Drosophila melanogaster: one gene and its partner. The protein of the gene in region 2 interacts with the protein of the main gene of each other region in a pairwise test. Each region holds a gene or a part of one and is shown on either strand. Other genes may lie near its edges.

What was found. The genes of interacting proteins can lie anywhere in the genome.
Region 1: the proteins of TwdlE (region 2) and Acsx1R interact in a two-hybrid assay, tested with the Drosophila melanogaster proteins (one large-scale study listed by BioGRID).

Annotation. Positions count from the first base shown.
Region 1 is NT_033777.3:19,774,959-19,778,908, reverse strand, and holds Acsx1R (Acyl-CoA synthetase X1 R), read left to right. Parts: upstream 1-1,628; 5' UTR 1,629-1,678; coding exon 1,679-1,822; intron 1,823-1,877; coding exon 1,878-2,389; intron 2,390-2,451; coding exon 2,452-3,436; 3' UTR 3,437-3,450; downstream 3,451-3,950. Other genes in the region: Acsx2 (Acyl-CoA synthetase X2), read right to left, coding at 1-143.
Region 2 is NT_033779.5:7,855,842-7,865,233, forward strand, and holds TwdlE (TweedleE), read right to left. Parts: upstream 4,999-9,392; 5' UTR 4,860-4,998; coding exon 4,842-4,859; intron 4,761-4,841; coding exon 4,540-4,760; intron 4,280-4,539; exon of another isoform or gene 3,084-4,279; coding exon 2,729-3,083; 3' UTR 2,116-2,728; downstream 1-2,115.

The DNA of each region.
Region 1 (3,950 bases), on a different chromosome or scaffold from region 2:
CTTTGGGGTTGCCGCTGCAGCTGCCGGAAGATTATCTGGCCCACGGTCAGCTCCTCGTTGTAGAGACTGTGCCGGCTGCAGCCACTCCAGACCTTCTGAACGGGATCATAGCTGGTCGCGGGATTGCCATTGAGGTCCAACATCGTGATGCACGCGCGTTTTATGACTGCTGCATACTCGCCTGCCGGGTCTATTTAAAGGTCAACGAAATTGGAAAAATTAGCCGGCAATTTAGCAGTTAAAGTGTCCGGATATTTAATTTTACCTATTGATTGCCAAGCTGTTCTCTTGACACGATATCAGCGATGAAAACCGTTTGGCGAATCAGATGATTATCAAACCTAGGTCTCGACAGCAGTTATTTGCTATTAAGTAAAAGGTCTTTTAAGATCAAAAAATTCTAAGTGCTAAGATTCGTTTCTGTTTAAAACTCTGGCGTATACATGCGCTGCAAAACAAATAGTTTTTTAGTTTTAGCTTACTAATTTTGAAAGAAATTAAAAATGCTTATTCATTTTAATCAAATACCTTTTTTATTTTTAGAGTATGTTAAAATATATTGGCGGGAATTTGGTGATGCGCCACCTACTTGCATGTTTTCAGAACTATGTATAAATGTTAACATAACATGTTAAACATTACATGTTATCTATCTACTTCTAAATGTATCTACATGCCATGTTATATGCGTTTATATGTATCTACATGACATGTTATACATTCGACATTTTTATGACATCTCATTGGCTTTCGTAACATAGATCTTCAAAACAATTTTCTTTTTAAATCAAATATGCCAAAAGGGGAAAATGTGTATAAATTAAATTTTTAATGTGCTGTACATCCCTTCGGTTTACTATAAAAAGTTTGCCATCATTTTTATGCCTTTAGGGTTTACCAAAGGTAAACTTTCAACAAAGCTGATACCGTAACCCCAAATTCATAAAGAAAGTGGTAAAAAATGTCATATCACAATTTAAAAAAAAAAGCTTTAACAAGAGCAACCCAGTAATAATACGCTCATCCCGAAGATGCAATTCAACGCAGCTCGCAGTCACCGCGTAATTCAAGATAAAAATGATTCTCAGTCAGATAAAAGCAGATCGGAACGAAGTTCGCTAACGCAGAATGATTTGCCATAAACTTCATGGGACCAAGGACATAAAGTTAGGCTGATATATCATAGCATGGGATTTGATGATAAGCATCTGGCAAAGAAGTTACCAGCAAAAGAACATGTCTCATGGCTTATACGAGGCAAGGCAATCACGTAGATGGATACTAGAGACGTGTGTGTAAATATCGTAAAATGATTTGCCACGACTTTATAACCAAATAACTTACATGATATGTTAATAAATAAGTTGATAAAATAATGACGTATAAGATACGGGGATACGAGAAAACATATTGTACTACTGGCTATGAAGATAACACACTAAACAGTTCCCACGAGATCGCGGCAAAATCTTTTTGACCTGTCCGAACCAAAGACGGTATCTTGAATTTTATAACATTTATATGGTATTTGTATTTCTATTTCCTCTGCCACACGAACTTTTTATCTAAGTGTGATAAGCTATTGGATGGCTGCGACTATTAAAAGGGATTGTAGTTGCGAATCTGATACAGTTGAAATCTGTCTTTACCAGACACACAAAGTTTGCCTACTTACAGAATGCCGTACACACCAGAAAATTCCTACGATAATGATCAAAAGATCTGGAGCGGTGAGCCGGTTGTCAAATACTTCGATCCGGACTTGTCCATCGGAGAGATAATTTTCCACGAGATGCGGCGGCATCCGCAGCTTACTGCCCAGGTGAGTACATTAAAAGTCACCCACTAAACAAATGATTCATCATGATTTCTTCTAGATCTCTGCTACGGAGGGTACTGTGTTGACCAGAGGGGAGCTCCTTGCCAACGCCATGCGCTTGGCCAGCTATATGCGATCATTGGGACTCCTTCAATCCGATATAGTGGGCCTCATAGGCCGGAATACCACCCACATGCTTGCCGTAGCCTACGCCTGTTTCTTCAACGGAATAGCTTTTCACTCACTCAACATTACATACGATCGCGATACGATCGAAAAGATCTACAAGGTCACAAGGCCTTCTATTATTTTCTGCGATGGAGATGAGTTTGAGAAGGTTCGATCTGCCACTGCAGAACTGGATGTTAAGATTGTCACCATGCGCAATCATCCGTTGGATTCCATAAAGATCGATGAAGTTGTGGCCACGCCCATCGAAGAAAACTTCCAGCCAGCTAAGCTGGAAAAGGGCAACGATCAGACTTTGGCCATTCTCTGCTCTTCGGGAACAACTGGTACTCCAAAGGCAGTAACTATAACTAACAGTCGGCACATCCTCGCAGGCAACTAGTAAGTTGTTTATACATATTATTTGGAATGATTTTAAAGTTTGCTTCCTTTTGTACCACTAGTCATCTGACCACCGCTGATGTTCAGTACTCTCACAACACCCTTGACTGGATCACTGGTTTGCTTACCACCATTACCTCCGGAGTGTTCAGCACTACCCGCATCATTGCGGACAATGCCTTCGATCCCGCCTTTGCCTTGCGAATCATCGAAGAGTACAAGGTTACGTGGACCATACAGCCACCATCATCTATGGCTCTAATGATTAACTGCCCAGATTTCGAGACGTGCGATCTGTCGAGCCTACGGTGCTACATGTTTGGAGGATCTCGGGCTGCCTTGGAGGTTCAGAAAGGCATCCGTAGCCGTCTTAGCCATAATTGCCTGCAGTTTGTTTATGGATTTACAGAACTGGGTGCCATGGCCACCATCAACTGTCACTTCGACGAGAAAACCGGATCGGTGGGTCAATTGGTCAATGGGCTAAAGATGAAGATAAAAAATGATGACGGCGAATCGCTTGGACCCGATGAGATCGGAGAGGTGTGCATCATGAATAACCAGCACTGGTCGGGATACTACGGAAACGAAGTTGAGACTCGTAACATGCGAGATTCACTGGGATGGTATCACTCCGGGGACCTCGGATACATGGATCGAGATGGCTTCTTGTACATTATGGACCGAAAGAAGGAGATGCTGAAGTACCAGAACATCATGTACTATCCAAACGATATTGAAAGCGTCATCTCAGAGATGCCCCAGGTCGCCGAGGTCTGTGTCTTCGGGATATGGAGCAACATCTTTGGAGACGAAGCTGCTGCTGCTGTTGTTAAGAAACTGGGCAGTGAGCTGGAGGCCCAGGATGTGGTGGACTATGTGAGGTCTCGGACTGATTCCAAGTACAAGCAGTTGAACGGAGGAGCCGTCATTGTGGATGACCTACAGCGTAGTGCCAATGGAAAGACCAATCGAATGGCCAACAAGGCCCACTTTTTGCATTTAAAAAATAGGAAAAATATATTACTTAGTCAAATTAATACATAACACTATTAAAAGTTAAAGACACTGCCATTTTTGTGTATTCTTTCATTTCGTTTTGCATCATTTATTTATAAAATTTCACAAACGTCATTACTTCGTTTTTATCCTGGTTTGCATTCTAGGATTTCCTTCCTTTCGGGTGGCAACAATAATTTCTACTATATTGTAAAATTGTGCTACTATGTAACAATTTCGAGCATCCCCTAAACAAATCAAGTCAAAGTGTTGCGGTGTGTGTCAGTTTGTGTATAGTTTAGTATAATTATTCATAACATTATCTACTATGCAGTCACTCTTGATCAATTTAACTTACATTTAACTAGAATTTCGTCATTCATCAAACATTATTCTTTATTTGTTTAGTGGAAGTGCCATGGAGCCTTGCCGGATACCGTTCTTAACTTATCTGCACTGTTCCGAGACATAACCATAAATGTAGCATGCGGCACATAGCCGGTAGCATACAGCGATATCGCAACGTATCCCTCGGTATAATTAGTTAATTTCGTATTAGATT
Region 2 (9,392 bases):
GGTTATCCCCAAAAATTGAGTTAAAAGTGCAGGCGTTAGCATTCAAAGATTGAAATCCATAGCTTTTACCGCCTCTGGGATGCAACAGTACAAATACAATATACCTTTTTTCTGCGTGAGTACCTGGAATAAAAGGAATATGGACATGGTGATAGTTGAGCTGCTGGAGCGTCACTTAAGTGCCGCTTGGAGTTTCTGCTGATGGAGGGGGCTTTTTCAGGGGGCAGAGTGGGCGTGAGGTGATGATGGGGCTTTTCGTGGATGGGGATGGGTGAGTGGTGGGCAGAGGGGCCAAATGCAAACGATGTGTTTTTAAGTTCGCTTACATTTGGCAGGCTCGTGAAGGAGCTGTTGAGTGTGTGTTCGGGTTTAAAAGCATGTGTGCACCGGAATGGATGGGGCTTGCACGGATTTACCTCTACTTTTTTTCCATTTTTTTTCACCAAGTGGACAACGGTAACGGGTCAATTAAAGTGGACCCGGCTGATTGTTATTAAGGTGGCTGCGGGAAAAGGGCTGTAATCCAATCCGTTTTAAGGTGTTTCGCTACTAATTATCTTAATACTTAAGGGAAATTCCGTGAAAATCGTTTTTCCGCATCGAGCAAATCAAATTGTATGCAATCCAAGCGCCAAAGAAAATAAAACGCAAGCAAATAAACGAAACAAAGCTCAAGTTCGGTGAATGGAGATAAAAAGTTTGAGAAGCACTTGCGTACAGTTTGGAGGCTAGCTGCGGCGCCATCTGGCGGGCGAACATAACGTGGCAACGCCAACGGCGTTGTAGTTTGAATCTTGAGTTCATTAACATGCAATGAAAATAAGAAATCGTTAAACTATATTTAACATAAAAGTTCCTGCTTATCTGTACTACTGTTTAATATATTTTCATGATATGCTTTTATATATAATTTCAATCCAAGTATTGTCATAATTATCACTATAGCTTATATTATTTTTTATTTTTAGCGTAAGCTGAAAATACTTAGCATGATATTTATTTTTCCAGTAAAATATATATTATATCTATAAATTCTTATCAACAATATTGCGCTGCTGTTCATATTGCGCTGTTGTCATAATTATCACTATAGCTTATATTATTTTTTATTTTTAGCGTAAGCTGAAAATACTTAGCATGATATTTATTTTTCCAGTAAAATATATATTATATCTATAAATTCTTATCAACAATATTGCGCTGCTGTTCAGACTGCAGCATAGGAATTCACATTTAGTGCATTATAAACGTTCGTCTAAAGAGGTTCAATTTGCTAAGCATGTTCCAGCTGAAAGTTCTCCTATATTACGCAATTATCGCAATAGTTATAAATGCATCACCTTCAGGATGCGAGGAGACAGATCGTGTCGAAGCCTCGAAGCGCTGATGCCATTGATCGGTCACATTGCCCAGCACCAGGAACAGTGGAAAACCTGCAAGTTGCAAGAAATACAGGCCCAACAGAGGGATATTGAAAAAGAAATTGAAAGCCAGAAGACATCGCTAACGGAATCGTGGAAGAAGATCATTGCAGAGGATATCGAGAACAGAACCAATAGGTCAGAACTTAAGATGGAGGGTCAACTATCTGACCTACAGGAAGCATTGACTAGTATAACGACGTCGCTGAAGAATATGTCTGCGAAAATAAATATTTTACATAGGTTCAAGCGAATCGGATCGAGATATTTGCACATCGAAGACATAGTCCAACAAAATTGGACCAGTGCTTTGAGCGCATGTCAAAAGATGGGAGGTAATCTAGCCTCAATTATAAATGAAGCAGACTTTAATGCTATCGTTTCGCAACTAAGCAAAGACAACACTTATATGATTGGCATTAGTGATCTGGCTGAAAAGGGCGTTTTCATATCTGTGTCCTCCGGAAAGAGAGCACCTTTTTTGAAATGGAATCCTGGAGAGCCACTATACGAACATGTAGATCAGCGTTGCGTTTCTATACATAACGGTGGCATGTGGGTTGCTTCTTGTACTTCTGATTTCAAATACATTTGCGAGGCAAATGAAAATGTATAGTAAACAGATATATATAAATATATGTACACATATGTTAAGACTTGCAATGTGAAACATACAAAAAGAAATCCATCTTGTACAGATAATTCGTTAAACTTTTATTTAGCCATTGATGTTTTGTGTTTTTAACATTATATACTTGAGTATCATTTTAATCTTCATTTTTTTTTGTTGCATTTCGAGTGCTTCGCACATTCTATTTAATGACAAATCGTGTGCGAAATGTGCAATATGAAATTGGAATAAATTGCCTACTTGAAAATGCGTTTGTGATGAAAATCATGTACCACGTATATATCGTTAATCGGTATCAGGATCGATATCTCTATCGATAACTAAGGCTAGCTCGCAGTGAGTGTTTCGAGTGTTTTGTGTGAGTGTATAACGCATCGTTCGCTTAAAGACCTAGACTTAAGACTAAACAAACAATTTGAAACAAACAGCCTAGATGGAAAACATACTTCTCGTACATCAGGTAGAAACAACATCAGAGATAAGAATTACTCATCTATAGGAGTAATAATCCTATGAGCTGGGTGTGGAGAGGGGATGGGGGAGATTCGTTGCTTGGTAAACTTTGTCACGCGTTAAGGTCCTTGAAACAGAAAATAATACAATACACATAAGATATGCAGTTTGCCATGAGTTGGGTTGAGATAAGCAAATCGGTATTCGGGTTGGACTGGATCGCCTAGTGGGATGGTGCCCCATACGAGCTGCTGGGAGCAGAGGGTGCGGGCGGGGCAGCTGGAGCTCCGTACTCGGGCGCTGGAGGCGCCACACTGTTGGGATAGGGTCCGGTCTCCTCCTTCTGGGTCTTGTAGCGGATGAAGTACACCTCCGGCTTGCTGGGTTGGGTGGGAGCTGGCGTTGGGATAATGATCTCCGGCTGCTCCTCCGGCTTCTTGACTAGCACGTACACCAGGGTCTTCTCTTCGTTCTGTGGGAACTGCGGTATTACAGGGGCGGTCGGTACTGGTGGAGATGGCGCCTTGATGAAGACGATCTTGTAGTGCTTCTGCGGAGGTGGCACGTAAAGGGGTTTCCTGGGAAAATATTTAAAAATGTATTTAAATAAAGGTTCTGCTATATCTGTATTTAAGGAATTTCTTAGGAATTCTATGGGTAAAGTAAGACACCACATCCTCATATAACGCAACTTTTTTTGCTTCCGGCTTGTAAAAATTTACATACTGAATAAAAAAATTTCAATTACACACGGCCAGGCTGGAATGACTTTCCACACTTCCTATAACCTTGCCTTGTTGAACGAACAAATACCGCGATGCGGGAGAAAGGAGTTTCTCTTTGAGGTGCATGCAAATGGCATGCCCATAAATGGTGACCTCCCGAAAATGGTGACCTCCCGACAACGTTGAACCCACTGCAGCTGCTTGTCAGTTTTACTAATCAGATGAAGATGATGACTATTGTGACGATGACAGCGATTGTCACAACAACCGCCTCGAGACGAGGGTTTACATAAAGCTACCTATGGTAATCGAGTTCCTGTCCCTCTGCGCCTGATAATTTGCTTGGAAATGGTACTGAGATATATACGAGTACAAGTGCTGCGGCGAGCTTAGGTAACGTTTTAGTCACGGTTTGGCGGTCTGCAAAGCCATATCATTCCCCTCTCGTGGTAATTAACATCGCTTCCAACTCCAATTGAAAACAGACAGAAGACGACAGAAAACATTGTATCAGCGAAAAGAGAGGAAAGTTGGATGGCTTTCGTTTTCGCGGGTATTAAATAATGTTCCTCCTCCGTTTAAGCGACCCTCTAAATACCCTGGAAATGTGGCAACAGCTGTGGAAAAGGGCCCTGAGCTGGATTAGATGATTGCCGGCTGGTCTCTTGCAACATTTGTCTAGTTATTATCTTTGGGAGTTGACGGCACTGCCTGGTTTACGCCGATGAATTGTGAGAGAATCTGCATAAGTGCCTTGGATTATATACTCATAACACAACAATGTGTTTTTTCCCCATATTTTTCCAATCTTAAGTGGAACAAGACAAATAAAGCGAGATCGTTTGTAACCGCTCACAATCACGCAAGTCGAAAAAAAAGTGTGCTGGATAAGGGGTGTGAATAATTTGAACTGATTACGTTGTGAAATGAAAAAAACCGCAGGATGTACGTTTATATTGTACGGCTTATCAGAAGAAATTCTCGATTGTTCACTCACTCACTGTGTTGGGAGTGTAGTGCGATTTCTATTTTGTGAAACTATGCAAAATAAATAATTTTACTATTACTTAAACTCTTAAATACGTATCTTTTGTGATTAAACTGAATGTGTCTAAAATAACATTTTTAAAGATTTTTTCCATTTTTAGGTCTGATATAATTATCATCTAGTATAGACAAAAATTTTAAACGAGTATGCATAGATCCTTTTCCGGAACTTGGTTGAAGAATAGGTTTATTGGGAACCCTATTCTACTCGCGATCTTTGGAACTTATGTTGGCTTAGAGGATCCTTGATCCTGCCACTCACCTGGGTGCCTGGTATTCCGGCTCTGGTGGAGGTACATGGACGTAGACGTGCTTGTGAATCACCGGCGCCTGCTGGGGAGGTCCGTACTGGGGCGCAGGGGCGCCGTAGCCTCCGCTGGGTCCACTTGGCTGGTAGCTGCTGGAGGGGGGCGCACTGTACGAGTCACGAGGCGGCTCTGGACGAGCGGCCACCAGGGCAGCCAGGGCCATGAGGACCACTAACTGCGAACGAGATCGGAGGAGAACACACCATTAAGCGATGTCCATCACGGCCACTTGGTCGGTTTGGTCACAAGATCATACCACACAACTGGAATGCATTTTCGGGTGGCTTATTTCGGGTATATCCGTTTCGGGTTTTGTCACTGCTCCAGGTGGCTAGGTGCTACTGGCTGTTACTGGTTACTGGTTACTGGCAATGTGGTGCTGCTTCGACGCGGAACCTCTTACTGCATGCCACAACGATTGTTGCAGTTTCTTTTATAGCAGCGCAGCGCGTGAAATAAAAATTAAGTAAAATTCAAGACGACGATCAAGACCGCTGCTGCTTTAGCCGCCTCAGCTGCCTCAGCTGCTGCCGCAGTCGACCGAGCAGTCGGCCAAGTTGGCTGAGCAGTTGGCAAAGAGCGGCAGCAGCATGTAGCCATGAAGAAATTGAAATGTTTAAGCCAAGTCCAAAGTTTGGCCAGTCATGATCTGGTGGGGAAACTGAGGCTGCAGCTCCTGGCTGCGATGCAAACGGCGACCGCAAAGCCAACCGAAACTGCAACGTCTGCTGACCGTTTCTTGGCTTTGGCTTTCCTCCTTCGATTAACTACTTCTTTTTCGTGGTTTTTCGAGCATGTGGTTGGTTGTTTTTTTTTTTCTGTTTTTCTGCCCAACTAGGATTATTTTCATGGGGAAAATAAGGAACCTGAAAGGTGCAGTGTATGTATGTAAAATAAAGCTTGAGGCAGCAAGGCCATCAAATAGTTTTTTATGGTTTTTATTTCTGAAGACACTTAGCTGCTGGAATGTAGCTTATTTCAAGGGTCCATTATTTTCAAGGCAAGAAAATAAAAGCCTTTTTTGCGGTAACCTCAGCTTTAACGATTTCCTGCTTAATTTAAGAATATCTGAGAATATCTGTTCTCTTATTATTAATTTATCACGCCTTTTGTTCTTTTATCATTAAAAGAAAATGCCTCTCTTAGCTTAGATAGTTTAATTATTAAAGGCAAGTCATATTTTGTAATATTTAATTTATAAATATGTCTTGTGCATTTTTTTCCCTCGCCCATTTAAAACATTTGTATAGATTCGCTGTAGAGTACAACTCCTTCGAACTGATTGCCAAAGAAACATGGTTTTTCCTAAAATCTCTGATTTCTGTTATTTATATATAAATATATATATATATGTGCTTTATTATATATATGTAGCTAATGTGTGTAAATTGTTATTTTGGTCATTTAGAGGATCCAATCGCAGTGGACTCGTAACCAAGTCTGGACTCTGGATCGGATCGTGTGGCACGATTCACTTTCAATTTCAATGAATGTGGATTCACTCTCATTTAGCCAGCCGTTTTGGGGAATGGGTTGGTATAGTATGGTATGGTATGGTTTGGGATCAGATGGGATGGGGCTAAGCTTTGTTTTGTGCTCTGGAGTGGGACTGAATCTGGTGTTGGTTTTATTTCATTTCTTCATGCTCTTTCGGCCTTTTGTTAGCCAGCTTCTTTCGGTGTTTTGGGTTGTGTTGTGTGTTGGCTTGAGTTGACTTGGCCTGGCTTGTTGTTATTATTATTGTTACTGTTATTGTTATTGTTTTACTGGCTATGTTGCTTTTGTAATTGCTGTCCGCGTTTTGGACACGAAGCTTCATAATGAGCTTCACGCTCTTGTTGGGTCGACCCATCTGTACAGGCATTTTATTTAATTTTTCTCCTCTGGTTTTTTTGTTTTTGCAATATTTTGAATTTCTTCAATTTGTTTTTTTTTTTATCTCTGGCAAGTTTTAGTGTTGTTTTTGGGTTGCTTTTCTTATTTAATAATTTACGCCCCGGCCATGACAATTAGCGTTAGAGAAGAGTGATGGATAAAATTATGATTGGCAAAATGTTTTGCAACTTTTCCATGGCTCATAGCCCCCAAAGTAATAGCTAGCTTTTTTCCTGATTTATGCACATAATCTATAAATGGCAATCAGCATTTTTGCATCGGTTGCAAGCGATCCTTGGCCGCATTTTGGGGCCACTCCTGCACAATCGCTGCCGGAATTTTGCTTTATGAAATGGCATAATCAGTGACGACCAGTGGCGCCAAACGGAGGACGACACCGTAAACCGTAGACCCAGGCACCGAGTAAGATACCCAGCAGCAGTATTGCAACTGCAACTTGCAACAGTTGGAGAGACTCAACTGGAGGAGAGTCACAGAGACAGAGACTGTCACTTTTCCTCTATGGCATCATTTATAATGCCGTTAGCCAAATGGCAGGTTGTGTTGATTTTGTTGTTCATCTGCAGCAGCGGCTGCACTTGCTCCCCTGTCCACGGATTGCATTTCCTTAATTTTCCACGCTCATCTTTCACATTCAAACCCATCGTCATCATCATCATTCGTTGGTCGCGGTAAAATATGCTGAATTCACAAAGATGGAACAGGTGCAGGTTCATCAGTGGTTACGCCGCGTCCTAGGGCAATTTTTGGAGTTTTTCCGGTGCAAATATTTCCGCAATTTATGCCTCGAGGCACCCTTGACCCATTATTTTTGCCAGAAGATAATATAGATATTTTTTAGAGAAATGTAAAAGTATATAGCTGAAATACAGCTTGAGAAATGCGAACATTGCATTTATACCATTAATTGTGCTTAAAACTAATGCATCAACTTTATTGGTATTTTGTAACGTAACCAAGGATCGTAAAAGATTAACTTCATAATGAACTGAAATTAAAGAAAATAAATAATTACAAAGCTATCTTAATGGTGAACACGAAAGTATGGCCAATCCGAATAATTAAATAGGAACATAAAAATGTTTCTTATGACGCTGTGAGACTAACGAAAAATTGGGATCTCAAATATTAAATATAAATTTTAGATTTCACATAAGTGACTTGTTCCAGTGTTTGTTCAATAAATATTTAATGACTACTGGTGGAATAAACATGATACACGTGTAAAAAAGTCTCTGTGATTTTTATAAAAATAATATATATTTGAGATTGCACTTTAATGTAAGATATATATCCTGCAGATACATTGCCCACTTTGAAGTACATGGATATGTACTGTTGAAATCATACTTGGTGATATTATTATTATTGTTGAACGCTGTATGAGCTACAGGCTGGGCACTGGCTGATATTACTTACGTCATTTTCCAACTGCAAATTCGCAGTTACATTATGCATTCTGGGAAAACCTCCCATAGGGCGGATACATTCTGCTAGCCGGGCCATTATGCGAATTATGCATGGCACATTGCCAGATCTTAATGAATTCGCCATGCCACAGCGATTCTGAGCCATATAATCAGCGTCGCATTCAGCCATTCATCTTTCTGCTTTCTCCGTGGCCTCAACCGAGTAACACAGTTCCCCCAAATCTACCCCCCCCCCCCCCCACAAACAAACATATGTAGGTATAACATTTAAGAGTCAGCTACCAACTGGCTGCCATCTACACCTCGGCGTGCACAGATACTAATTATTATATTGTATCTCTTGTGACTTTATGTAACAGGCAAAGAAACAAAAAAACAAAGGCAGACGGAACCATTTAAATGATATTATATTAACATAAAAAAACAAAAAACAAGCGGAAAAACAATTATAATTTCGTTTACAAAACGAGAAACGGCACTTGGCGGGTAAAAAGTACTTAACGGCTTCGAACTGACATTGGGAATGGGTTCGGAATGGCGTATGGCGGATTGTATTTAATTGTATTGGATTGGGGTTTTTGGGTTCGGGAGATGCGATGTGTCTTTCTGGTGGGTGCCACTTTGCGCCGTTTAATTTGTCGAGAGTTGCACTTGAAGCACGTGAAAGTAAATTGAGATAGATGGGAATCTTTCGGATGGTGGCGCCCTCAAGCAGTTGGATGTGAAATGCACGAGTATCTGAGCAGCCCATAAGATGAGATGAGATGAATTCGAATCCGAATCTGAATCTAAATCTGAGACTGTTGTAAGGTTGCGTTACACTCTGCATGCGTTACGCAACAGGCTTCACTGTATCGGTGGCCAGAGATCTAGTTGAGAAAGGGATGTTGCATTGAAAATGATTTCTTTTATTGTTGCTTCTGCGGCGAGTCATAAGTAATAAAGATAACGTAAGTTAACAACAATTAAATGTACATTTATATATGGATACGAATTAAGTAGTGTGTATAAGTACATATATATGTATCTCCCTCGAAACGTTGCTGGCCATAAAGTCTCAACCGAAATCGCATTAAACTTGGGCCCATCTTCCAGCGGAGGCCATCTAGTGGAGGTTAGTTGGGAGTAGTATAATTTATAAATACACAATACGTTTTACAATATATCTTCATATGCCTGGCCAGCCTTGGGGCCCATTAAAACTCCAGTTATTATTGTTCGTGGGGCGGTTGTGGAAGTTTTCGGGGTAAAATATTTACAATTTTATCGCACTTTTAATTTTTTTTTATTTCTTGTTTGACCGCGCAAAAAGAAGTTGAAAATCCGCACTTAGTCTACACCATTAAGGGTTTTTTTTCAGAGTTTTTCTTTTTCAGAGGGACGGGGTTGCTCTACAACACATAGGTACATACATATAGGTACATTTTACACTTCGGGCTTACCCAAAGGATTTTAAAAATTATTGTTCTAGCATAGGAACT